2 linked regions of the Schizosaccharomyces pombe genome follow. Changing the gene in region 1 together with any one later gene gives a genetic interaction. Each region holds a gene or a part of one and is shown on either strand. Other genes may lie near its edges.

Region 1 (17,041 bases):
GCCATTTATTCTTGCTTCTCTTCAGCAACATTGGTAGTGTAATATGCAACGGTATCTTTGGATAACGATTTTACTAAATTTCGCTATAAGAGCTACTGTGGCGCGTAATATGAATTGGCCTACCTTACACAAACATCCACAGAGATCCTATAAACTTTGTGTTTGGCCAAACGGATGTTTGACAGAGCTTTTTTACTTGTTATTAGCCTTATGAACGTATTTATTTGAAGACTGATCAAGTTTTACTTGAGTTTTTGAATATTGTTATAATTTACAAAGTAACGTCGCGCGACATACTTTTCCAATTATAAGCTGAATTACGGTTCAAATACTTTACAATAGAAAGCTCTTCATCCCGGCGATATTATTTCTTTTTACATAACGTTTTTTTTTTCATAATTTGTCAAGGCTCATTATTGGAATAAATTACACTTATCGAGTTGTTACCAAATTTTTGATTTTGATTTAGTGCACAGGTTTTTAATATCTCTTGATTTTTTTTTTTTTTTACTTTATAGCTCTTTTTTGTTTTGATCGAATGCCTGGGATTTGCTACTTGGATTCAATATTAATCAGCCATGGATTTTAATACCTCTACGCGGTCGAAATCTCAACCCGTTCAAAGGAATAATTACAAAGTTTTATACGATCCAGAATTAGGAATCAAGGAGAACCTTGGTCGCAAAATTATATATCGGTTTAATGGTGTTTCAAAACCACCTTTAGTAGTTCGCGACCCTAGACTTAAAAATCCAATATATGCCCGCGGTATTCCTAAAAGTGGAAGGCCATTTTTAAAATCTTTGCAAACTATAAATTATGACTACAATGAGAATTCATTAGGTCCAGAACCTCCAACTCAGGTTTTTGTTTCTAACATCTCACCGCTCGTGACTTCTGAACAGCTCCGATATCATTTTAAATCATTTGGGGAAGTTTTCGATTTAGACTTAAAGTTAAACCCTTATACAGGTACTTCTTTAGGGTTGTGCTGTATATCTTTTGACAAGCGTAGTTCCATTTCTGTAGCAGCACATTCAGCGAAAATTGCTGTACAACAAGCAAATGGCTTGAGGTTTTCCGGTAAGCCTCTTTCAGTAGTCCTTGATCGGGATGGTTCATTATGCGAAGAAGCGTTCAAGAAAGCTTTAAATGCTGTTGAAAAGCAATTTCAAGAAGAAACTTTACAGAAACAGAGATTCGAGCGGGAAGATGAATCTTCGCGGCAAAAGTTATCTGCAGCTATGAATGAAGATATTCCTCCTTGGCGTCAACCATCGAAAAATTCACAAACATTGAGCAATGGAGACTTGCAACATTCTAAAGTTCAGAACGTGGACCAGAAATCAGGTTTTCTTACGTCAAGCGAGACTGATGTTCCAAAAAATATTAATGATTATATTTATTTACTAATTGACGATCGCTTTGTCCCTCCAGATCGTGTGTATTATACTGATATAAAGCATCATTTTCGAAAATTTTTGTATGAAAAGATATACATGAACAAAGACGGGTTTTATATAACTTTTAATAATTATCGCGAAGCGAGCAATTGTTACCGTGCGCTGGATCGTACATACGTACAAAATTGTCGCATAAAATTGAAATTTCATGACATTCCTTCACGTACAAAGGAAGATGGAAAAAAGAGCGCAGTACGAAGAGTTGTTTTACCTCCCGAGGAAGCGTACGCTGAAGCAACCTCAGTTGTGCTTAGAGATCTTGAGGCTGCTTTGTTACGTGATGTAAAAAGTAAAATAATTGGACCGGCAATCTTCAAATATCTTCATTCAATGCCTAAGCCTTCTGTTAAGGAAGAACTACAAGAAAATTTATTGGTTTCATCTACAAGTGTTCCTGATGTTCCTTTAAAAATTGAATCAACAGTCGGAAAGCTCCCCAGTCTTCCCAAATTTAAAAAACGAGTTGATTCCAGTAAAATGAATCTTTCAGCGGGTAGTAAAACGAAGTCGAAACTTCAAAGAAGACGTAGAAGAAGGCACGAAGCTCGACCTTTACACTACCAGCTTAATCAAATGTATAACTCAAGCGCTTCTGAAGCCGAGTCTGATCAAGAACTTTTGTTATCTTCTGGAGACGAGCGTGTAGAAAGAGGGAAGATTGGCTCAATAAAGTCTGTGAAGTCTGACGAGGCGACTCCAGTTTTTTCTGATACATCTGATGAAAATGACAAATTCCATCGTTTTCGTACAAAATCTAAAATATCAAAGAAAAAATATGAAAAGATGGAAGTTGACTATACTTCGTCCAGCGAAACCGAATCAGATGCATCAATACTTTCTCCTAGTGCTGCGATTCCAAAATCAGGTAGCGCCATAAAAGATGAACTCATATCGCCTAAGAAAGAGATTGATGAAGTTTTAGCTTTAGCTCCCAAATGGCGTATTAATGAGTTTGATGAAACTGGAAGCGTTTATTATGGTGCACTTCCTTACAATTATCCAGAAGACGATGTACTTCTTGACTTGGATGGTCTACAGTACTTGGTAAAAAATGACGAAGATTACTCATATCTTCAAGAGGCACTCAAGGATGAACCCCTCATGGATATCAACGATCCCAATTTCTGGGCTTATGAACGCAAGTCATGTAAATTTAAGAATGGGGATGTTAAGTATGGAGATACGGCTATTCTTCCAGAACCTAAAGGTTATTTTCGCTCTAATACTAGCGGTTCTGCTAAAAGTGAGGGATACTATATTATTCCAACTACCGAAAAATCACTATATCTACCACTTCGTAATCGATCAACCATCGATACTATTAGTCATTCTACAAGCCGTATCACATCACGAATGAATCGTGTTAACAATAGAAGATTGGCTGCTGGAGTTGAAAAGTCTCAATTGCCAGCCGAAGCTGACTTGCTCAGATTCAATGCACTAAAGGCTCGTAAAAAGCAATTACATTTTGGCCCTAGTCGCATTCATACATTAGGGCTTTTTGCCATGGAAAACATTGATAAAAATGATATGGTCATAGAGTATATTGGAGAAATCATTCGACAACGGGTGGCTGATAATCGTGAAAAGAACTACGTTCGTGAAGGTATTGGAGACAGTTATTTGTTCCGTATTGACGAGGATGTTATCGTTGATGCTACAAAAAAGGGAAATATCGCGCGTTTCATCAATCATTCATGCGCTCCTAATTGTATAGCTAGGATTATTAGAGTTGAAGGGAAAAGAAAAATCGTAATTTATGCTGACAGGGATATTATGCATGGAGAGGAACTTACTTATGATTACAAGTTTCCGGAAGAAGCTGATAAGATTCCTTGTTTGTGTGGTGCTCCAACATGTCGTGGCTATTTAAACTAGACAATGATGCTCTTGGAGAATTGATGGTACATGAATATATGGGCAGCTGTACAATTATAATAGTTCGTTTAAAAAGCACGCATTATATCTGATGGTACACTAATGCTTTTTATTTTTTAATATAGAATAGAATCAATTTTCTGTCTTACATCGTCTGCATTTGATATTGGTTGAATATTTTGAGAGTCAGGATAAATGCGCATACCATTCAGTGGATTGCATTCAGGAGTGATTTAGAAGTAAAATGTTAAGAGATATACTGTCTTAGATATATCCATTTGCTCCACAATACTACGAAGTTCAAGTTTAAATAAACGAAAACGAAAAATAAAATTCTCTTAAAACTTGATAGCTACTGAATTTTAGGATCCAAACTTGATTTGGTATTACCTTGTTAATTTTATATGGAAGATTTATAATAATTGAAACTTCACAAAATTTGTAACAGAATAATAAACAAAAGACTTTTGACTTTGTAATCGGGAAGCCATCAATGAAGTAAATTGGGAAATACTATATTATTTGAAAACAAATTTCAAAAGAAAAATAATGTTATCATATTGGCATTTATTTAGAAACTTATTTGAATCTTTATCATTTGTTGATTAGAAAGAAATATACGGCATATCGTTAAAGCGCGATATACGTATAGGCACACCGACTTACCACTTGTGAACATAAACATTTACTTAAATCAATGAAAAGAGCTAGTTTAGGCGGGCATGCGCCCGTTAGCTTACCCTCCTTAAATGACGATGCATTAGAAAAAAAAAGAGCTAAAGAGAACAGCCGTAAGCAGCGCGAGTTGCGAAGAAGTTCAGCTCTGCACTCAATAACGCCAAGAAGAGAATCTCTAAACAATTCTTCACCATTTAATAGCTCTCATCAGGTTCCTGTTCTTTCTAATTTTGAGGAATGGATTAAATTAGCTACTGACAACAAAATTAATTCCACAAATACCTGGAATTTTGCGCTTATTGACTATTTTCACGACATGTCGCTTCTACGTGATGGTGAAGATATAAATTTCCAAAAGGCAAGCTGTACATTAGACGGATGCGTGAAAATTTATACTTCGCGTATTGATTCTGTTGCTACTGAGACCGGCAAGCTACTCAGTGGATTGGCAAACGATTCCAAAGTATTGCAGCAAACGGAAGAAGGCGAAGATGCTGAAAATGATGATGAGGATCTACAGAAAAAGAAAGAGAGAAAGCGTGCACAACGTTCGGTAAAGACTCTCGTTAAAGATTTCGAGTCAATACGCGCTAAAAAATTTGAGTTAGAATGTTCTTTTGATCCTTTATTCAAGAAAATGTGTGCAGATTTTGATGAGGATGGTGCTAAAGGCTTATTAATGAATCATCTTTGTGTTGATCAACATGGACGAATTGTATTCGATTCTAGCGATACTGTCATCAAGGATTTGGAAAATAAAGATGTTGAAGCTGAATCGCAGGAAGCGGTAGTCGCAGCGCCTATCGAAAGCCATGACACAGAAATGACTAATGTGCATGACAATATTTCTAGGGAGACCTTGAATGGTATTTACAAATGCTATTTTACCGATATTGATCAGTTGACAATATGTCCCTCCTTACAGGGCTTTGAATTTGATAGTAAAGGGAATCTTGATGTCTCTCTCTTAAAATCATTAAGTGATGAAGTTAACATGATAACGACAACCTCCTTAGTGGATAATACGATGGAGAAAACTGATGCTGATGCAGCTTCCCTTTCTTCCGATTCCGATGGTGAAGAAGGACATATTGTGCATGCTTTGGAGGAAATGGCTTACGATGAGGAGAACCCATATGTTGATGTAGTACCAAAAGCAATGGACGAATCCGAAAATCCAGATTTTGGTGTGGATACTGAAGTCAATATGGCTGATGGAAGTACTATGAATGAAAATTATTCTATTATTTCTACTGCCGCTGCGAATGGAGTATACGAATATTTTGACAAGTCAATGAAAAAGAACTGGGCTGGACCCGAACATTGGCGCATTCAGGCATTGAGAAAAAATATCAATAACGCATCAACTGTATTCAACTCTTCCAATACGGCTGAAAGTTCAGATAATGTATCGCGTTCTCTTTCTTCCACGGAACGGAAAAAGCGTCGAGAACTTGATAACGCCATTGATTTCTTGCAGGAAGTAGACGTCGAAGCACTGTTCACTCCTGCAACCAGCAGTCTCAAGCTTCCCAAGTCTCATTGGAAAAGACATAATCGATGTTTACTACCTGATGACTACCAATATGATTCTAAGAGGCTTTTACAGCTTTTCTTGAAACCAAAGATGTCAGTTCTACCCAACGCTGATGGAGAAGGACAGCTACAACTGAATAAAGCCTTAGATGATGAGAATGATTTGGACGGTATTCAACCCCATGGATTCGATTCTGATGGCAGTGATAATGTTGATGAAGGAATACCCCCGTATGGATTTGGAGATTCCGATAGCCCTAAGCAAACACCTCTGCTTACACCTCCATCATCATCAGGATTTGGTGATAACCTTTTGTTAACTGCTCGTTTGGCAAAACCAGATATGCTGAATTATGCGAAGCGTGCTAAAAAGGTTGATGTGCGAGTACTGAAAGAAAAGCTATGGAAATGTCTAGATCTTGAAAACACAATTAAAGAAAATTCCATCAACTCTCATATTGAGGGTTCGGAGATGGAGTCAGAAGAAACCAACATGCCAGTCAAATCTTTTTTTTCCACTGTCAATCAATTAGAGGAGACATACGAGAAAAAAGAACTCAAAGATATATCCACCAGTTTTGCCTTTATTTGTGTTTTACATTTGGCGAATGAACATAATTTAGAGCTTACAAGCAACGAAGATTTTTCAGATGTTTTTATTAGGCCAGGTCCTAACTTGACGACGCTAGAAGCATTAGAAAATGATGTTTAAAGTGTGTAGAATCGAAATGATGCAGGTCATCATTAATTAGTCATCATCGCATACTTTTAGCTAGCGTGAATCATTTTCAAGATAGCCGGAAATTATACTCTTTTTGATCTACCTTGAATAATAAAAACACTAGCTCGTATTTTTAGGCTGTTACTACTTTTTGACATTGAAGAGTTGTGAAAAATGAAGAGTGCAAATTGCATTTTGTGGAGCAAGCTGACAGCGAAATTTTTTGTAAAAAATACACCTTCCTTTTATCTTGTGATCGTTGAAGACATCAGTATCTTGCTTCTGCCTGTTAATTCTGTTGGAACTCACTTAGCAGTTGACTCTTTGGAAATAACGAGATATTGCATTCATTACATGCTTCTATTCTCGACAATATAACAAAAAATAATAATTATTTATTGTCTCTATGTGAGGTTTTTTACCTATAATAGGATTAAATTGTACCAATATACGGTTATTCATATATTGTGAAACCCTTTCAAAGTTAGAACATATCGATTTGAGTACAGAAATGTAGGGTAATTTTATCTTTTATGTTAATCTTTCTCAAGAATCTATTTTTTTTTGATACAAATTATTAAATGAATTATCAGAGAAAATGAAATTTGTCAATGACCAAGCTGTAGAATAATTTCAACACCGTCAACGAATGGACTTTGGCTCAGTAAAATAAAGTTAAAATACATCCTTTTAGTTAAAGAAATAGGTTTATAAGCAATCTATGAACTTTCGCAGCAACGTTAGTTCATCTAGTTTTACCATAGATTTGAAATAGCGTTTAAAGCAAAATTACGCTATATACGATAGTGATTCATAATTTAAATAAAATGAGTTATGCAATACAATTATTACAATTTTTTCTGTTGCACAATATCTATTTAGCGTTGCTTTCTCAATGTACTTTACAGTGGGTAACAATCAATGGCTTAGAATACTTTGTCAACATCCAGGAAAAGTAGAATTTATCCTTTCCCTATATCTAAGACACCTACTACGGTTTTTCATAATGTCAGCACTGTCGTTGAGTATTACTAAAGTTTCGGAGACTTTCTCAGAAATTTACGCTTCAAGGGTATGAATTAATGAACTATGAGTAGTAAACTTGAAAAGATCAATTCACTAACGCAAAATGGTAGGCTCAGTATCTAAGTGGTTTTAAATCGGTGGGCGAGTTCTTGGATGTTCGTAGAATTTCTAGACCTAGGAATTTCAGTGAAGCTCAGTCGAGAATTAGCTTCAACTTTTCGAGGTTTTCTTCTAACTATCTTGCAATCATTGCTATGCTCGTTATTTACGCACTTATCCGTAACCCTTTACTTTTAATTGTCATTGGAATTGGTGTTGGTGGTGTTTATGGTATTCGTAAGCTTCAAGGAGCTGATTTACAACTTAGCCATCGTGTAATTTCCAACCAAAATCTTTATGTCATTCTAGCATGCGTGTTGATTCCTCTTGGGCTGTTCGCATCTCCCATCGAAACTATCATTTGGTTAGTTGGTGCTTCCTGTGTCTGTGTATTCGGACACGCTGCTTTCTTTGAGCCTCCTGTTGAATCGGCATTTGAGACTGTCGAGCAACAAGTCTAAAAAAATTGTTTCTAACAGCCTCTTTGGTTATCTTGGTACAGTTGCTTTAATTTTCGTACATGTCTTTACAAAGGGAATACTGGCATTTCCTACGCTTACTCTTCTTTGACAAACAAAAAGAGGGAAACTGTACGCCGATTTTAAAGAAACTAGCTTGCTAATCATTTTATTATCAGTTATTTGCGTTTCATACTTTTTTCCTTTTAATACGTTAATACTTCATTTGTAATTTTTTAGATTATTCATTTCTGCGCTCTTTGTTTTACGCCTTTTCGTCGTCTTTTTCAATGACTCTATCTGGCTATCTTTATCTTGCCTTTACTTTCTTGAAATTATGGGATAAAATGACTTCTAAACTGCGCATTCAGCTTCATCTAGTACTATAATAACTAGTTTGGCTGCTTATATGAAGCCAGCTATGATTTTCACCTCTCTTATTCTTTTATCTTAGCGTACTAGACGTTTTTCCTCGTTTCTTTGTCAAAGGTCTACTACCTTTTAAGGATAACTTCAAACTATCCTTCCTGGGAAGAGAAGAATTTTTGCATTTTTGAACCGGGTTTCGTTCAATATATTTAGTTCGTTCTTTACACTTCAGTGCATTTGGTTAGTTAATAATTTCTAGTCAAACATTTGCTTTACTTTTAATTCATGTGTATAATTAATTGTTTATTTTTACTTGATCATTTTTTCTTTTGTCGCCAGTAAATTATGTAGAGTGGAAAAACAATGTTTGGTATTTGGAGGATATGGAAAACATAATCAAATATTGAAGAAAATCAGTTTGTACTATCACAGATATGCCTTACGATAATATACATAGATTCCCATCAAGCATATTCATATATACATGATAAAAGCCAAAAGAGTCGGAATATATTAAAAGTAAACGTTTCACTTACTATTCGACCTTTTTAATCATAACTATGCAGTTGCGCGTATAATCTTCATCGGTAAACTTATCATTTCATGGCTTTTTGGATATATGTGCACTAAAGCTTTTGGTAATCAATTGTACCTTCAAGTTTCTTCAGGTCAGCAACCTTACGAGCTGCGGACATTAAATCGGACTGAATGACATAGTCGCGATCTTCTTTAATGGCTATGAATCCTGCTTCTGTAACCACATTCCGCAAGTCAGCACCATTTGTTCCATCTGTCAGTTTAACCAATGCTTCATAGTCAATTTCGCCTTGTTTAGAGACTTTTTCTAAATGGATTTTCAAAATCTCCATACGACCAACTTCGTTTGGTAGGGGAATTTCAATTTTACGATCTAGACGACCAGGACGAAGCAAGGCAGGATCTAGAGTATCAGGACGATTTGTCGCCATGATAATTTTCGTTTGGCCAAGGTAATCGAAACCATCCATCTGATTCAATAATTCCATCAATGTACGCTGAATTTCACGATCAGCAGATGTTCCTTCAGAGAATCTTCTACCACCAATAGCATCAATTTCGTCCATAAAAATAACACATGGCTCATGCTCTTTTGCATAGCCAAACATTTCACGAATTATTCTAGCAGATTCTCCAATATATTTATCAACGATAGCACTGGAAACTACTTTTAAAAAGTTAACACCTAAAGATGCCGCCACGGCACGAGCTAAAAGAGTTTTACCAGTACCAGGAGGACCATAGAGCAAAACACCTTTTGGTGGCTTAATTCCCACACGAAGGAATAATTCCGGATTCTTTAAAGGTAGTTCAATAACTTCACGCAATTCACGAATTTGTTCATTCAAGCCACCGACACCGGCGAAAGAAATGTCACCAGGGTCTTCAATTGACATATTGTAAACGAGAGGATCAACCTCACGAGGAAGAATACGCATAATGGTTAACGTGGTCATATCTAAAGATACACGAACGCCTTGAACCAAATGAGATTGGTCGACATTGTTTCTGCAACCTACAACGTAACGTGGACCAGAGCTAGAATAGGTTAGGGAAACAGAAAATAATGAAAGGAAATAAAAAATAGTGTACTAATGCAACGATAGATTTGTAAAAAGAGAAGGATGACTATACGTGAGGTATCTACTTTCCCAACGATTTGCTATGAAACCAGTAAACAGAGTGTTTCATGCTTCCGGTTATAGATTTTTATACCGTGTGCGCATTTCAAAAAGAATTTTTGCTGGATGGAGAGGTTAGAACCAAACAGTTTTTGAACACAGATTTTGCCCACTGAACTTATCTTTAAAAAAAAAAAGGAACGGGCAAATGATTATATGCATTTAAACATGGTTCCCATTCATACGCCACAAAAAATTCTTTATGAAGGAATTCAACGCCCAACATATGCATTACTAATAATAAGGTCTTCACATCCATTTTCACATTTCACTTGTATATATCCTCCACGTAAAGCAAACAATCTCCCAAAAGTTTGAGTAATTACTTACCTAGCTTTTACAATGAATCTTTCAGAATCAAGTTGTTTCAATACTTCTCCAATAATCTGACCAACCGACTGCAAGCTTTTTATATCATCCTCTGTTTTATCATATTTCTTGACTAGATCTCGATTTCCAAAACGCAAATCCTTCAGTTTTGAATCCCATTCTCGATGTTGTAATAAATAGGATTTATATTTCTCTAAAGCAGTGTCTCTTTCCGACATGGTTATTTCGCAAAAGATGTGTTAGTTCTGGTCAGAACATACTAGCAAATGGGAATCCAATTACTCGGTATTTTACGTTCTTAGAAATTATTAAAACTTCACTAAAGTCGTTTTCGTTAAATAAGCATTGCGAATTTCAGCGGAATCTGTTCTTGCGTAAGATTATATTTTTCTATAATAGCAGTATGATTACTAGACTACAGTTTTCTTTAAAAGAATATTTTGAAGTTTGAATTGAGTATCTTTTCAGTTTTGCAAGTTCATGCTGAAACCCCAACCGAAAATGCATTATTATTTTGTTTAAACTTCTCATATTTAAGTTTTCTCGAAACCAGAGGTATTACACTCCTGTCGCTATCCGTAAAAACAAAAACTTGTTGAGCAAACATCAAACTTTGAAGATGCTAGAATTACTGTTAATCTCAAAATTAACGAACGTTTTCTGCTTTAAAAAATTTCATCCTTCGTAAAATTTTGGGTACTGCTATGTCAACAATTTGGTAGTTGCTTCAAGTCATTCTGTTAACAAAAATTATGCTTAATCCGCCAAAACTTGGTCTCTTAAGTTGAACAATCCAATTCAATTGACCACTTGTGTCAGAATATGATTGTCAATTAATATCATAGTTCCTACAACTAAATTTTCTAAACATATACACGTCTAACTTTTTCTTACACAAAAAGCTAGATTGCTTGTAAAACGGAACGAACAATTAACCGAATAAACGAAACTCAATATGTATAAATTAACGCAAACTTGACTAAAGATAGAGAAGATAGTTCTCGACTTCGCCAACTTTAAACAAACAAATCTTAAAGCAAGGTAAAGTCGAAAATACGATTTTATAAATAAATATATAAAAGAAAGTAGGATAATAAAATATTAACAAACGAGGTAGAAAACAAGGGAATGGTTCTAAAGGTTCGTTTGATTTTGCGATTAATCATGAAACCGGTCATCACGTATCGACCAAAAGCTAATGGAATTTTAAAATGTAAGAGAAGGGAAACAAAATGATAAAAAAGGGAAAGAAGTAAAAATCATTAAAATGCCAGGTATATATCGGCGAAAAGAAATAAATATACGGCACACTTGCGATATACCTTGATTGACTATATGATGCTACGAAGAGCATTGCTAAGTAAATGTGCAAGGAACCCTTGCACGAATTGCGGTTCTTGAAGCAGTTCGAAAATAATTTTTAGGCTTTCCTCGGAGGTTGACTGTCCAAGCATAAGAGTAAAATTCTCAGATAAAGCGTTTTCAACAAGGGTTTTTTCGGCTCGTAATCTCAAACTTTCATCGCTTTCCTCGTCACAAAAAACTGAAACAGGGTCTTCAGGAACAGATTTGCTAGCCTCTTCGAAAAGGGAATCGGCTTCGCTATCAAAGGAAATTTTAGATTCAGTTGAACGTCTGTGTGCCCTTGTCGAATGTGATTCCATGGCTTTTTTTTCGTCGGGCCATACGTTTAAGATTAACGAAGTTAATAAATCTCCCACTAGTTGAGTGTTTGAAAGCTTGTCATAAATTTGGTTCTTTAACATTCGTTCAACTTGAGCCGAGAACCTCCCAGGACCATGCAATACTGTCGTCTTCATAATCGTTAAAACTGATTTTCGAAAAAACCACAACTTGGAATTCAGAGAGCAAAGCTCATCAACCAGAGCAAATCCCCCGCTGATAATTTCTTTAAGACGTTCTTCTTTTAATTCAAAAGCGTTTGGTTTAGGTGGCTCAGTGGTTGGACTTCCGTTATGATCAGGCATCGCTGGGGGGTTTTCAGTTGGTTGAGTGGAAGCGGGACGGTAAGGCTCATGAATCGAATCCTCATCATCCGAAGTACATGAACCGGTATCTCTATAGCCGGTGGTACAAAGTTCAAAGCTATCCCTTTGTTGGCTAAGTGGTTCAGGTGCCAATGTACTTTGATGACTCAACAGCCCAGTTCGCTCAGAACGCTTTGGTTTTGCACTTTTAGATGTTTTATTGCTTAACACTCGGCTAATATTTGTAAGATTGGGTAATGTGGGTACAGAGGAAGATTGATGTTTCTTATCTACATCAAATCCATTGTAAATGTCATCAACTAATGGGTGAGACCTCATAGATTTTGCAAAAAACTTGCGGACATCAACATTAGTTGCAAAGTGACTATCATGCAGTAAAGCTTCTATAAAAAAATACAATCCTTCACGAAACTTCTCATACGTGTTTCCACGCCAAACAGGAAAACTCGGTACAGCTCGCCCATTTCTAGCACTTTGCTTTTTTAACAAATAGTATAAAGTTTTGAACCCCCGATATCGACGATAAACCACCCAAGGTGAGACATGCAAATGAACGGGACGAACAGTGATAATAAACTTGAGCATTTTTTTATCTTTAATAAGGGTATTTAGGGAAGCCTCCTTCAAAAATTGATAATGAAGTTCAATGTGAGCTTCGTAAAAAGCATCGTCAAATGATAACTTCCCTGCATCAGGATCAATATTGGTATGAACGGGGTAATCTTTAAGTGCCTTGGCCATAAGACACTTGTTAACATAATTTTTCTTTGCCAAACAATCACTCTTATCCTCACTTGAAGAAAAATAAAGAATAATACAGCGATTCACGAACCTTGGAGAAGAACAATGTGTTGTGATACGCTTAAATACTTGCATTGCAAGAACTTCTCTCAGCAAACAATGTAAAGGAAGACAAGCTGAGTCTTCAGGTCGGCTAAACTTAACTATCATAGCAGAAGCTTGCGCGCGTAAAGTTCTTTCAATGGACGCCTGATCAAGTAGTTTCGAAACAGCCGACTCGGGATAACGAAGAGCAAATTCAGTGAGAGGGATTTTTTTGCTCCGAAAATGATTTAAATCCGACAAAACTAACGTAGTAGTAGAAATGGCATTTTTTAAAAGTTCATAAATTATATGCGAGGATTCCTGAGAACTCACATATGCATAAAATTGTCGCATAATATATTCTATGGTGCTTTGAACCTCGCGAATAAAAGATGGATCTTCACTAACGTGTTTATACCAACCATTGATGTAATGTTGCGTAAGCTTTGAAATCAATAGTTGTAAAGGAGCTTCAAGTTCAGGTGGTAAAGGAGTTTGATATGGCTTAAGTGGTTCACCCAACTCAGGATGCTTGATATTCAAGATAACACTATGATTGTTGTGAAATAAGCTGTTTACATACGCACCGAGTATAATTCCGCTTAATATATACGAAGTGGTCCCAAAGCATATGTAAAGAATGTAAAATATTAATGACAAAACCAAGAGAGCAATTATCGGTATAACGCTATGCTCTATATAAGGGAGCAAGTGTCGTGTTATACATAAATCCCATTTTCGATACATGAGTTAAGTATAGAAATAGAATAGCTTAGCACACTCGATTATGTATATATTTACAAAAGAAATGACCGGTATATGCAAAAGAGTGATGGGTCCTTAAGGGAAGCACAACAGAGCTTCAATACTATGTTGCGTAAATCTTTTAGCACAATAATAACTTAAAAATCGTGAATTTGAGATTAGAACCAAGTAAAAATCGCCTAGGTATGCAATTCGGGTACAACAAGATATCGAAAAGCAAGCAAACAGGTAATAACTGCCTTGTAGATTAATCTATGTGAAATTGCGATATAATAGAAAATGCTATAAATTCATATTTTGGGAGACGGATACTTTTCTCTCTTCCAGTATGAGTGAGGAAAGCAAATGAGCAGGTGGTTGCCATGCCAACGAAGTGTGATTTTTCATAAATAAGTATGTAAACAAACAAATCGAAACTTCAAGGATTTGGCTATTCATTAAATACAATCCTTTGCATATATTGATTTGACCGTTACAACCATGGTGCAGGTTGAGGGATAGTACAACGCTTATCGTTGTGTGTTCTTGAAAACAGGACTATAGATAGATAGATAGTACATGGAATGTGCTTAGACAACTACTATAAATGATTATATGTTACAAATCAATAATAAAACACAATACCTCAGTAGTTTAAACTTAGTGCTGTTTAACTATGAACGACATAACATACTCATAGATTAATTAGTACAGATGAATTGAAAAAATTTTTTAACTTCCAGTCCGAAGTCATTTGTCAAAGGAGAAAGTTCTACAATCTACGAATTCGTTTCACCTTACTAATGTACACAACAAGCATAGTATATTTAAAACACTATTGAAAAATTAATTTACCGCCTAAACCAAAAGTGCATATGTCAAAACATAAATGTATTAAGGCAATTATTCCTCGATCTTTTCGGCAGCAGTGTAAATTTGCTCACGTTTTTCTTCAACAGCCTTGGCTCTACGTTGACGGGCAGCCTTGGCACGAGCACGACGAGCATCTTGTTGCTCTTGGATCAACTTGGTACGGTTGGCCTCGGCCTTGGCACGTTGGATATGTTCAATCAAGGCACGTTTGTGCTTGAAGGTGTTACCCTTGGCTTCCAAATAAAGAGTGTGGTAAAGATGCTTATCTATCTTACCAGACTCACGGTACTTGCGAAGGAGACGACGCAAGACACGTTGACGACGCATCCAAACAACAGTAGAGGGCATACGAGCCTCAGCAGTACCCTTACGCTTACCATAACCGGTGTGACGACCAAGACGCTTGGCAGCATGAGTTTTACGGATACGGAAACGAGAGTGCATCAAATTGGGCTTGCGAATGACCAAACCATCCTTGACCAATTTGCGGATATTTTGACGGCTGTTAGCATTGCTAATTTCACTGATCTCATTGGGATCCATCCAAACTTTGCGCTTGCCGCATTTTAAAACAGAGGCAGCAAGACGCTTCTGTGTTCTCAGATTTGCCATTGTTAATATGGGTTGGGTTGGGGACGATTGTGCTTTTAGTCTTTCAAATTGTCTAATCAAAGCAGTCACAATGTGTTGTGTTTAACCCTACCCTCAATTTTTACAAAAAAACAAGTGACGATATCATATAGGTAACATTGACTAATTGAGTAGTATGGAAAATGTAAATAATTGAAAATGCAAAAAGCTCAAAGAAAAAAGCCGAATTGTTAGTTACTACTACAATGGAAAGATGCATTAAATATGTCACAAAATCTTAAGAAATACTGAGGAATATAAAAAGAATGATTATTAAAGAAAATGCTTCAACAAGGATGATCGCAAAGTATTTTCTACCTCATTTTTCTGCTTTTAAATATATAATTAAGTATAAATAAAGGAATCAAAATGGAGAGTAGAGAGTTGGAAGAACACAGCCTCTCATCAAAAATTTTTGAGCATTTTTTAGGTAGCCTTTTTTTAAAAGCATGATATACTAGGTACAATGTTAGAAAATACAAACGGCACTCCCAAAGACCATATATACAATAGCTTCTCTTTTTTTTAAATACAAGGATCATAATAAAATGAAAAGAAGACAATATAAAGAACGAATTAAGCTTAATTAAGCATACCAACCAAAAATCTGAAGAGAAAAGAAGGGTATAAAATGGTTACAAAGTATAAACAAGCACAAAATGTAGCTTTAAGTTAACACTTTGCTGAGTGTACAAAAAGAAAGACTTTTTTAAAAATTGGTAAATGGGGTAGTAAAGTCTTTTAAGCAGAGAAAATAACAATAAAAGCAAATTTGGTATGAAAGGGTATTTGGAGAGCAAGATGGGTGATTCAACAAAATATTTCCATCTTAGCACAGAAGGTAAAAGGTTTAATCGTCGAAAAAGCCGACTTCATGAAATGCCTTCCATAAACGGCTGGCTTTGTTTACGTCAACTCGACTAGCCCTTTGAGCATCAGTTTTTCGAAAAGTAAGTCCTTGTTGACGACGATGATGCCATTCCGCAAATATTCTTTTTTTGTTATCAAGATAAATCAAACATGGAAGACGAAGAGTCGAAGCCAAATGTAATTCAGCAGGGTGCAAGAGATCGCGATAAGGGTCATCACTAAGGTCCAAAGGCGGACCTTTCCACTCAGCTTTTAGTGTACGAGGATGCGTACGGTTGTCCAGTACAGACATGTCAGGACAGAAATTCGGCAACTCTTCAAAGGGAAGGTTGGCAACATCGATGGCACCATTAAGCCCATTTCCACGAGCCGATTTTCTTCTACGGGCCTCAATAGTGGAAGGACTAGAAGAGATGCTTCTTTCAGCAGACCGGAGAGCACCGCTGTAACTTGGTGACGAGTCTCGAGAAGAGACACTACTGCGTCCGCGAGAGCCAGAAGATGAAGAGACATTGGAATGCCTGTTAGCCCATCGACCTACATGATTATTACGACGAGCTTTAGGAATTGGATGAATCCGTTTACGACGCAACCATATTAATTCTTGCTGCAACCAAAGTTTCGGTTGATTTTTGTAAACTTCGTAAACAATTCCTTTCATGCAAGCTCGCATGCCATGTCTCCTCGAAATATTTGTATATGATAAAGATTTCTGTTTAGGAGGAGACAATGGCGGTGTAATTAAAACAAAGCTACCTCCATCGGGATTTAAGTTCTCCTGATCTTTTAAAATTTGCATCTTTGAAATTCGATT
Region 2 (8,553 bases), on another chromosome or scaffold:
AGTAGTAAAAAATCATCAGTATACTTTATATCAATTTTTTTTTTATAAAAAAAAAAAGGCGCATGATGAGGTGGATGGGAAGATTCCCATTTTACACTGAAAACTACACTTAATGATCCAAGGACAAAAAACTTTATACACAAAAAGCCACAAACTATCTGTCTTCGGCCCATTCCTGCAAGCGGTTAGAATTAAGTTAATAAAGTACCAAGGAACGTACATTTTCTTTACGGATTTGCTCTTCCTCCTCAGGCGTAAAATCATTAGGGATGTTAAATGTTTTCCGAATGTCCTCAGGACTCTTGCCACGAATCATGTTGGCAACGGTTTTACAACCAGTATCAAGCAAAGGTTTAATATCCAAATAATTGCTTGCCAAAACTATCTCGAACAACATTTCCTGGTCTACGGCCATAAACTTACGATCCCATTCATCAATATCGGTAGACTTTTTTAATCTAATGTCACTTTCCTCCTCAGTTCCTGAATACAAATCGTTTTTGTGATGCTCACACCATTCGAGTACCTTTCGCAAAACGTTCGATGATACGTTTGGAAGAGGAATGGGGACATTAATCTCACCAACGTCTATTGAAATTGAGATTTTAGTAACAGGGTCCATAATAATTATTGCACTCAACAAGCGCTTGTATAGATCATACCTTCAAGCATATTTTTTATAAGCATACTTCTCTCAGCGATCAGTTGATCTATAAACAGTTTGTCAATTCACTCAATTCAAAACATTCTCCGTTCTACATACCGACCACGAACTCTTCATTGTCAGATGAAATCAGTTTGATTTTGGACATTGTTGATGTATGTAAGTAATGGATGAATGAAAGTTAAGCTGTTAGCATTTCTAGTTATGCTGATATTCCTACAGTGGCAGAACTCACTAATTCGATATTGGGAAAAGGTGCTAACCCTCATTAAATCAAATTGCATAGCAGAACGATCCCACCGTGATAGCTAAAAAAGGCTACTGAAGAATAATAAAAGAAAGCATAGAAATTGAGGTTTAAGATGAGTCCGTACTATTAATGTATAATTCGAATATAGTTAATATTAGTGTATTCCTCCACTAGAGCTTAGTTGAGGATATAGAAACTCTAGTAATGATTTACCAAGCACAAATCAAAAGCCACACTTCTAAGCAACTAACAAAATAAACCGACTAAACTGTTAATCGCCTGAGTTATATGTTCCTCACAGCAATAAAAACAGCAACAAATCTATGTATTATTCATACTTTTTGATGGGATATACGGAAATCCCTTTTACCTCGTTATTATCATATCTGAGTACACCAGACAAAATGCAACATGGGGTTGGTACATTGCAGAACAACTTGCCGTTTAAAAATCATAACTCACTAGTTTCCTCTTTGGAAGCTAATCAGTGTTTTCAATGTAAAGGAATTAATTAAAAAATGTTAGTGGAGTTACTAGAATTCACTCCTCTCTCCTTCATTGATGATGTGATCAACATTACGAACCAACTGTTATATAAAGGTGTAAATGGTGTGGATAAAGCCTTTTCACAAACGCGGTTTGCTAAAAAAGCGCCACAGGAAATAGAAGAAGGACTACACAAGTTCGAGGTTCTCTTTGAAAGTGTGGTGGATCGTTACTATGATGGTTTCGAGGTGTATACACTTCGAAACATTTTTAGTTATCCACCAGAGCTAAAAGGCTACATGCGTACGTTTGGAAAGGATGTAGACTATTCAATCACAACAGAGCAAGACGCCGCCATGGATCAAGCAATTCAAGAGGCTGCAGAAAAACTCGTAGTAAAGATGCAACTACGTCGTGACCTTCGCATGCGTCTCAGCAGGAAAAGAGAAAAAAAAACAGAAATAGAAAAGCATTTGGAAAGAATTTCTTTTCTCAACAAAGTACCCGAAAATTGGCAAGTTACTTTACCAGAAACTACCGATTTCCTTCTTGATCAACTTGGTAATCTGCAGCATGCCGTTAAAAGAGTAGTTGAAGCCTCTCCCACTGTACACTCACGAGAGGTGGATGAAAGAATTACCTACTTAGAAAAAGGTTACGAACGATTATCTAATCCCATCGACCAGCAAAAGGATTTTTGGTCACATCACTTGTCAAAACTAGAATCGACAGCCAATACTGAAACTGCAAATAACATTCATAAGTTGCTATTGTCATCTGAAAAAGACGTCGGACATACTGACGAGCCTTAATACTAATCAACTAGCTAAAGTCTTGAGATGTTCTAACAATTGTGATCGTTTACGTAAACTTTCATAATAAATATATAAGAATTGGCGTTGGATCTCTAGCGAAAGCAAAGTAATGCTTAATAAAGAAAACTTGGATTGTCTCTGTCACTTTTTCCGTTACATTTTTATTTGTTTTGTTTAACTTCTCTTTTTTCCTAAATAACTGAATGGATAATAATTATTCTGACCCATTAACTCCAAATCTGTCAAACAATTCGACACTTGTACATTTTTCATGCTCTGCCACTTTGCCAATCATTCCCAAAGCAATATCCCGTATTTCATTATAGGTATGGAGTAGATCGATATGTTTTTGTACAGTTTGCTTAGCATCTCGATTTCTAAATCATTTGTCAACATTAGATAAAACGAGACAAGCTTGATGATGACTTGAATAGATTTGATGGAACGGCAATACATTGCTTTTCCCAAAATGAACCTGAACGCGCGTAAAGGCGCATAACTCATATTTTCTACCATTTCTAGCATCACTTTACCACACTTACTTTAGCTTAGCTAAAGCGTCTTGTAAACTACTTTCCAATTGCTCCTTCTGCTGTTCAAGCAAATGGACGCGTGACTCAAGTTGAGACTGCAGTAATTCATCAGTATTTTGTGAATGAACAATGGTACCGTTGGCTTACCTTTTCCATACGATTTAAACAGTTCTTTCTTAATGAAGCAATGATGTGTGAAATTTACTAGGAAGGTATCTGTTTTTGAACACCTAGTAGAAATTAAGTTGTTGAGGAAGGCAGGAGCCTACCGATTTGTTCAATTGAAAACAATGTCTATTGTTCTTGTAAGAGAGAATTTAGATTAGTGATGAAAGACAAGTAAATTGTTGAATCACGAACAATGGCTTATTTCAATATAATGAACTTCGCTAATTTGTATAAGAAAGTATAAGGATCACATCGGTTTTCGTATGCCCATGTACAAATTGCCTTCTTGCATGTATTTAAAGAATTGCTTACATTAGCATTTCCTGATTTAAAAATTGTTAATAAACATTTAAATTTTCCCATCTGTTTGAAGTGTATACTTAAGAAGTTTCAAATTCTGAACTTGTCTTAATATTTTGTCTCTTATTGGATAAAGCACGATTTGATTCCAAGCATGTTATTTCCTAGAGTTGTGCCGTTTCAATCTTTAAGGACAGCATTCCAAAAGAAAACCTTTTTACCAGTATCTTCAGCTGGTAACGTTTTCACTCCACGTTTCCAATTGCAAGCAATTCGCAGCATATGGATCCGATCGGAGGAGACACCGAACGAAAACGCTTTGAAGTTCCTGCCAGGGCTAGATATCTTGCCTCCAACTATCGGAAGCTGTGAATTCATGAGAGGACAAGGAACTGTGAATTCTCCATTGGCACAGAAACTATTTGATATAGATGGAGTTGATAGCATTTTTTTTGGAAAGGACTTTATTACTGTTTCCAAGGGAGCAGGAACTGAATGGGCTCAAATGAAGCCAGAAGTGTTTAGTGTAATTATGGAGCATTTAAGTAATGGAAGCCCAGTACTCTCTGAAGAGCCTCTAAAGGGGGCTAGCGATACTCAAATATTAGAAAGCGACAGTCAAATTGTTGCAATGATTAAAGAACTGATCGAGACTAGCATTCGTCCATCTATCCAAGAAGACGGTGGTGATGTGGAATTTAGAGGGTTTGATGAGAAGACAGGTACCGTTTCTCTTAAACTTCGAGGTGCATGTCGAACCTGTTCGTCATCAGCTGTGACACTAAAAAATGGAATTCAGCAAATGCTGAAGCATTACATTCCGGAAGTGGAAAATGTTGTACAAGTTTTAGATCCAGAAGAGGAGGTTGCAATTGCCGAGTTTGAAAAATTTGAACAGCGCATTAACGGAAACAAACAGAAAGCTGATAACAAGTAACTTTTTCCATTCAACATAGGGAATTTGGTTCATTTAAAAGACTTTGGTGATAGAAATTAATAATTGACGAACAAAACGCTATTTATGAGTTTTAAGAAAAAACAGCAAATAACAATGAATATTTACACTGTATTCGATAAAAAACACATACTACTATATAAGACGATTTGTTTAATCATATAATGTTACTTTCTTGGTTCATTTTCGACTGCAAATTTTATGTACGAATAATGAAGATGTGTATCATATAAACTACAGGTTTCATCAACACCTGTATTATTCAGAGATATTTAAATGTTTTAATAATAGCGAGGGTACATATTTATGAAATAAATAAGTAAAAATTTTGAAATACTGTTGGAATGTTTCGTTGATGTCCCTGTACGCAGATGACTATTTTCGAAATTTGAAAAGGAGAATTGATACACAGAACGGAGTTGAGTTAATGTTAGCCTTTGGCTCTCTTTTGCTTAAAAAACGATACTCGAAAAATTGACTAGTTAGAAAAGGTGGTAATGCATTCGTATATTTTCAATTAAGCTCTAGGTTATTAAATAGGTATACATAAGCGAATTATGTTTGGAGTTGGGAGATTGTATCAGCGTTACGAAATATTCGTCAATCATTTCATCTTTGCTAATTGCTGATTAACCAAATGATGAAGTTAGTGCTGAGCTTTATTTGTTTAAAAAACTTTGAGTATAAGCGAAGCGATAGATTTGGAATTGAAGTGGTGCACTGATACTCGACAATATTCCGTACAGTACATTGAAAAGTCTGATTGTAGATACTTCTTCACCAGATATCTAATTCTAAGCATACAGAAGTTGCAAGTAAATTTCCCCACTTTTCCCAGTACTCATTAAGCGCTGCATTAATTCGATTAAAAGGGCTATCTTCTTAATTAATGTTATCCGATTTCGACAATGATAAGAAGAAATGAAGGTCGCCTATTATTTCGAAATTTTAGTTTGATTCAAACATTCATGGATCCTTAGCGATAAAGGTTAGTTCCAACATTACATTAGATCCTCGGAAATAGTAAAATCATAGTAGACATTATTCAGCTTGAAATAAGCTAGCGATAAATGTTTAATATACAGGCGGTTATGAATAATAGGAAGATTTGGCGATCTAGCATATTTACATTCTTGATAGAATTTTAATATTTATAACGTAAGAGAAGGGTCAAATATAGATTATATCCATTAGCCTATTAAAATGCTCAACAAATATAACAAATTAAACTATTCATACGAATACACTAACTGTAAAGAGGCATCTATCTCATCTCAATAAGCTTGGTATTTTAGAGGTCTCAAAAACAAGAGGGCAATGATTGCAATAACATATTGTCATTCGTAAATGAACACCCCTATAATTTACCAAGCCTTAGAAAGTAAAAATAAAAACTTGAAACTTGATATCATTAAAGACTCATACGGGTTTTTGCTCGCATACTACCAGCCTTTGATGAATCCTCATGAGCACTATATTCTATAGTCTCTTTATCAGAAATCCCTAAAACTTCTTTAAAGCGCAGGCTACATGTTTGTTAGTCCAGTCAACTACCAACACGTTACTCTTAAAACTTCACATACCCGATTTTTTCCAAAACATCTTTGTCATTACAATTTCGTGTCCATACAGCGATTCTATAGAATCCTTTCCTCATATTGCAAACTACACCAGTAACTTCTTTCCCAGTAGGGTCTAATGTTTCTCCAATGGCTGCCAGCACCTATTTCCATACGTTAATACTTTCAACTTAAAAATTAACATTCTGTAAAGTCGATATCACAGCAGTTAAAATGAACAGACCATGACTTACCATATACAGCCACAACTCGTCGAGATTTGAACCTTTGTGCTTGCTTTGGTAGGCCCATTTCCCACCATTCATGTTTTGAGGATCCTCCCATTCAGGACGAATACCTTTCAAAAAGTAAGAGTAGTCCGATTTGGCGGGAAGCATCGAAGCTTTTGAGATCGTCTTAAAGATGCCCCAAAACTCTTCCACTGTCTTGAAGGAAATAATCTCTTTAAGAAGATCACTCCATTCAAGACCTTGTGTAGGTGGTTTCAAAAACCACAATGTCCATTCATGCTGAAGGGGGTGTGTTTTTACAAATGCAGTTTCAGCATTAACAGCCGATAGACCTTCAAGAAGGCGCGCTGGACGTCCCTCTCTTTCAGTTTTAACTTTTGGTGACCCAAATAAATCCAATAGATCTAGTTTTTCTGTGATTAAGGAAGTGTTGGGAAAACCCTCATTTTTTGAGTGACGCGAGTCTTCTGCATCTGCCATTTGCTTTTTTTAAAAAAACAAAAATATTAAAAGAGCTTAAAACGTTTTTATAATAGGCAGTTTGTAAACTAGGCTGGATGCTGAAAAGATGCGGTGGTCGTAATTGGGTTACGAGATCCAAGCAAAAGCAACTTTCAACACACTGTTCCTGTAAAATATAATTGTACATTCATACCTTAAATATTGGCTAAGTATATATAAAAAGTCAATAATCAGCCTTAAAGCTTTACAGTAAATTATTTGTTTGATTGGAAATGCACGAGTATAATCAAATTTCACACAGCTTTTTATCTGCATACTATTATAATTCGTGAAATCAAATTTGTTCCCCTTACGTGTCAAATTGTTAAAAATCATTTTGTAATTACAAAGATGCATAAAGCTATGTTGTATATCTAAGAATCATTTAAATCTCAAAAACAATGTTGCAAAATGTAGAACCTTTCTCCATTTCAATCAAAAAACAGCTTGATCTAGTACTACAAAAACACCACCAGTTAAATGCAGACTTCCGGTGACACAAACAAAAGTATTCCTGGATTTTTGCTTAATTGACATCACTGTCTCAATAGCTTCTTGGATGGTAGGGGCTACTGTTGCTTCACTAGTCGTGCCCTTCGATTCTTTCCACCATTTACATAAATCCTCTTGTACATGCAAAACGGGCTTATTATCAGTAATGGTATTAATGCTTAACAGCTCTGGATTATAGCCTGCATCCTTCCAGGTGACATTGGTTGAGAATATAACATGCGTAAACGAAATCCCAGTTCCCGAGCTTTCCAATCCTTTTAAGAAGGACCTAAGTAAAGCAATTGGATCATCCCTGCTTTGCTGGTTAAACAGAAGAATACGGGCATCTGCATCCTCATAAAGATTCTTCTTGGATGCGAGCCAAAGTCCAGTGGCCTCCAAACTTTCCTTGGTGTGGGCTCCATCAAAACACCATTTTATGTTGTTGATTTCCTCAATTTGGCATCTTCCAGGCCATTTTACATACTTGAGGCCGTCCAAAATTGCTGGATCCTGATATGGATCTCTATCAAAAGGGCACCCGGCCTTTTCATAGAATTCTTGGACTAAAGAAACTGCAAGGGATGTATTTCCAAGCTGATGAACTCCTGAAAGACCAATCATATCCGGCGTTAATTCAGCAGGAGGTATGACTACCTTAAGTGATGTATTTCGTTCAGCAGCACGGTTTTTTAAAACATTCATAGCCTCGGGAGCTTGCTCGCAAGTTAAGGCAATAGCTGATTCTTTGTAGATTCCAGCTTTCTGCCAAGCAATTTCTGCTATTGTGTTCCCCAACAAAGACGTGTGGTCAAGACCTAAGCTTGTAACTGCTGTGGCATATGGTTTTTCAATTAAGTTTGTAGAATCGTATTCACCACCAATCCCAACTTCAATGATAGCGGCATCGACATTCTCTGAAATGAAAACGTGCCATGCCATTAGTGTCAAGAATCGGAAATACATTGGCTTTTCCGAATCACTACCGACAGCATTCTCTAGGCGCTCCCATACATCAAAAAAATATTTAGTAAACAACTCTTGACTGATAGGTTTGCCATTTAATTGAATACGTTCACAGACAGATCGGAGGTGAGGAGAAGTGTACATACCAATGCATTTTGGAATCGACCTTTCTCCACTCTTCTGTATTTGCTGTAATATTGAGGATGTAAATGCACATGTAGAACCCTTTCCTTTAGTTCCAGCAACATGGATGACATTTAGTCGGTTCAAATCTGATGGCTGAGATTTATTAGTTAGTAAAAGTTGCATGACAGTATAGAACTATTAACAAAAAGATTTCGTAAAGAGATACAGGCTAAACCAGCCAAGTCAACAATTCCTATTGATATTTCCCTTTATAGACATGATGTGCTGTCCTTTCAATGAGATTATTATTATTAAAAATAAGGTGAAGTTAAAGAAAGGATCACAATCGAGTACTATAAAGGACATACAAATACTTGTTTCAATCTCGTTTAATCATATGCAGCGGCTTAAAATATTTGAGTGCTATTCTTTTGTAATTCCTAATTATAAGTAGTAACTTACCTGATATCCAATGCATCTAAGCCAA

Evidence for each region.
Region 2: mutations in rpt4 (region 1) and tif452 together harm fitness less than expected from each alone (positive genetic interaction), as found in Schizosaccharomyces pombe (one large-scale study listed by BioGRID).

What each region holds. Positions count from the first base shown.
Region 1 is NC_003421.2:399,065-416,105, reverse strand, and holds rpt4 (proteasome regulatory subunit Rpt4), read right to left. Parts: upstream 10,506-17,041; 5' UTR 10,495-10,505; coding exon 10,277-10,494; exon of another isoform or gene 10,223-10,276; intron 9,855-10,222; exon of another isoform or gene 9,804-9,854; coding exon 8,855-9,803; 3' UTR 8,511-8,854; downstream 1-8,510. Other genes in the region: histone H3-K4 methyltransferase Set1, read left to right, coding at 579-3,341; condensin complex non-SMC subunit Cnd2, read left to right, coding at 4,039-6,267; yip3 (Rab GTPase-binding protein), read left to right, coding at 7,283-7,348, 7,413-7,862; mug122 (PX/PXA domain protein), read right to left, coding at 11,608-13,857; rpl1902 (60S ribosomal protein L19), read right to left, coding at 14,758-15,339; Clr6-associated factor 2 Laf2, read right to left, coding at 16,208-17,026.
Region 2 is NC_003423.3:1,132,407-1,140,959, reverse strand, and holds tif452 (translation initiation factor eIF4E, 4F complex E subunit isoform 2, stress response factor), read right to left. Parts: upstream 6,567-8,553; 5' UTR 6,462-6,566; coding exon 5,985-6,461; exon of another isoform or gene 5,895-5,984; coding exon 5,755-5,894; exon of another isoform or gene 5,698-5,754; coding exon 5,583-5,697; 3' UTR 5,341-5,582; downstream 1-5,340. Other genes in the region: SCF ubiquitin ligase complex subunit Skp1, read right to left, coding at 155-175, 221-588, 663-710, 764-812; MIS12/MIND complex Mis12, read left to right, coding at 1,433-2,212; protein Swi5, read right to left, coding at 2,430-2,592, 2,758-2,843, 2,896-2,904; NifU-like protein nfu1, read left to right, coding at 3,371-4,153; met7 (putative folylpolyglutamate synthase), read right to left, coding at 6,918-8,219, 8,529-8,553. UniProt on the Schizosaccharomyces pombe protein: Recognizes and binds the 7-methylguanosine-containing mRNA cap during an early step in the initiation of protein synthesis and facilitates ribosome binding by inducing the unwinding of the mRNAs secondary structures.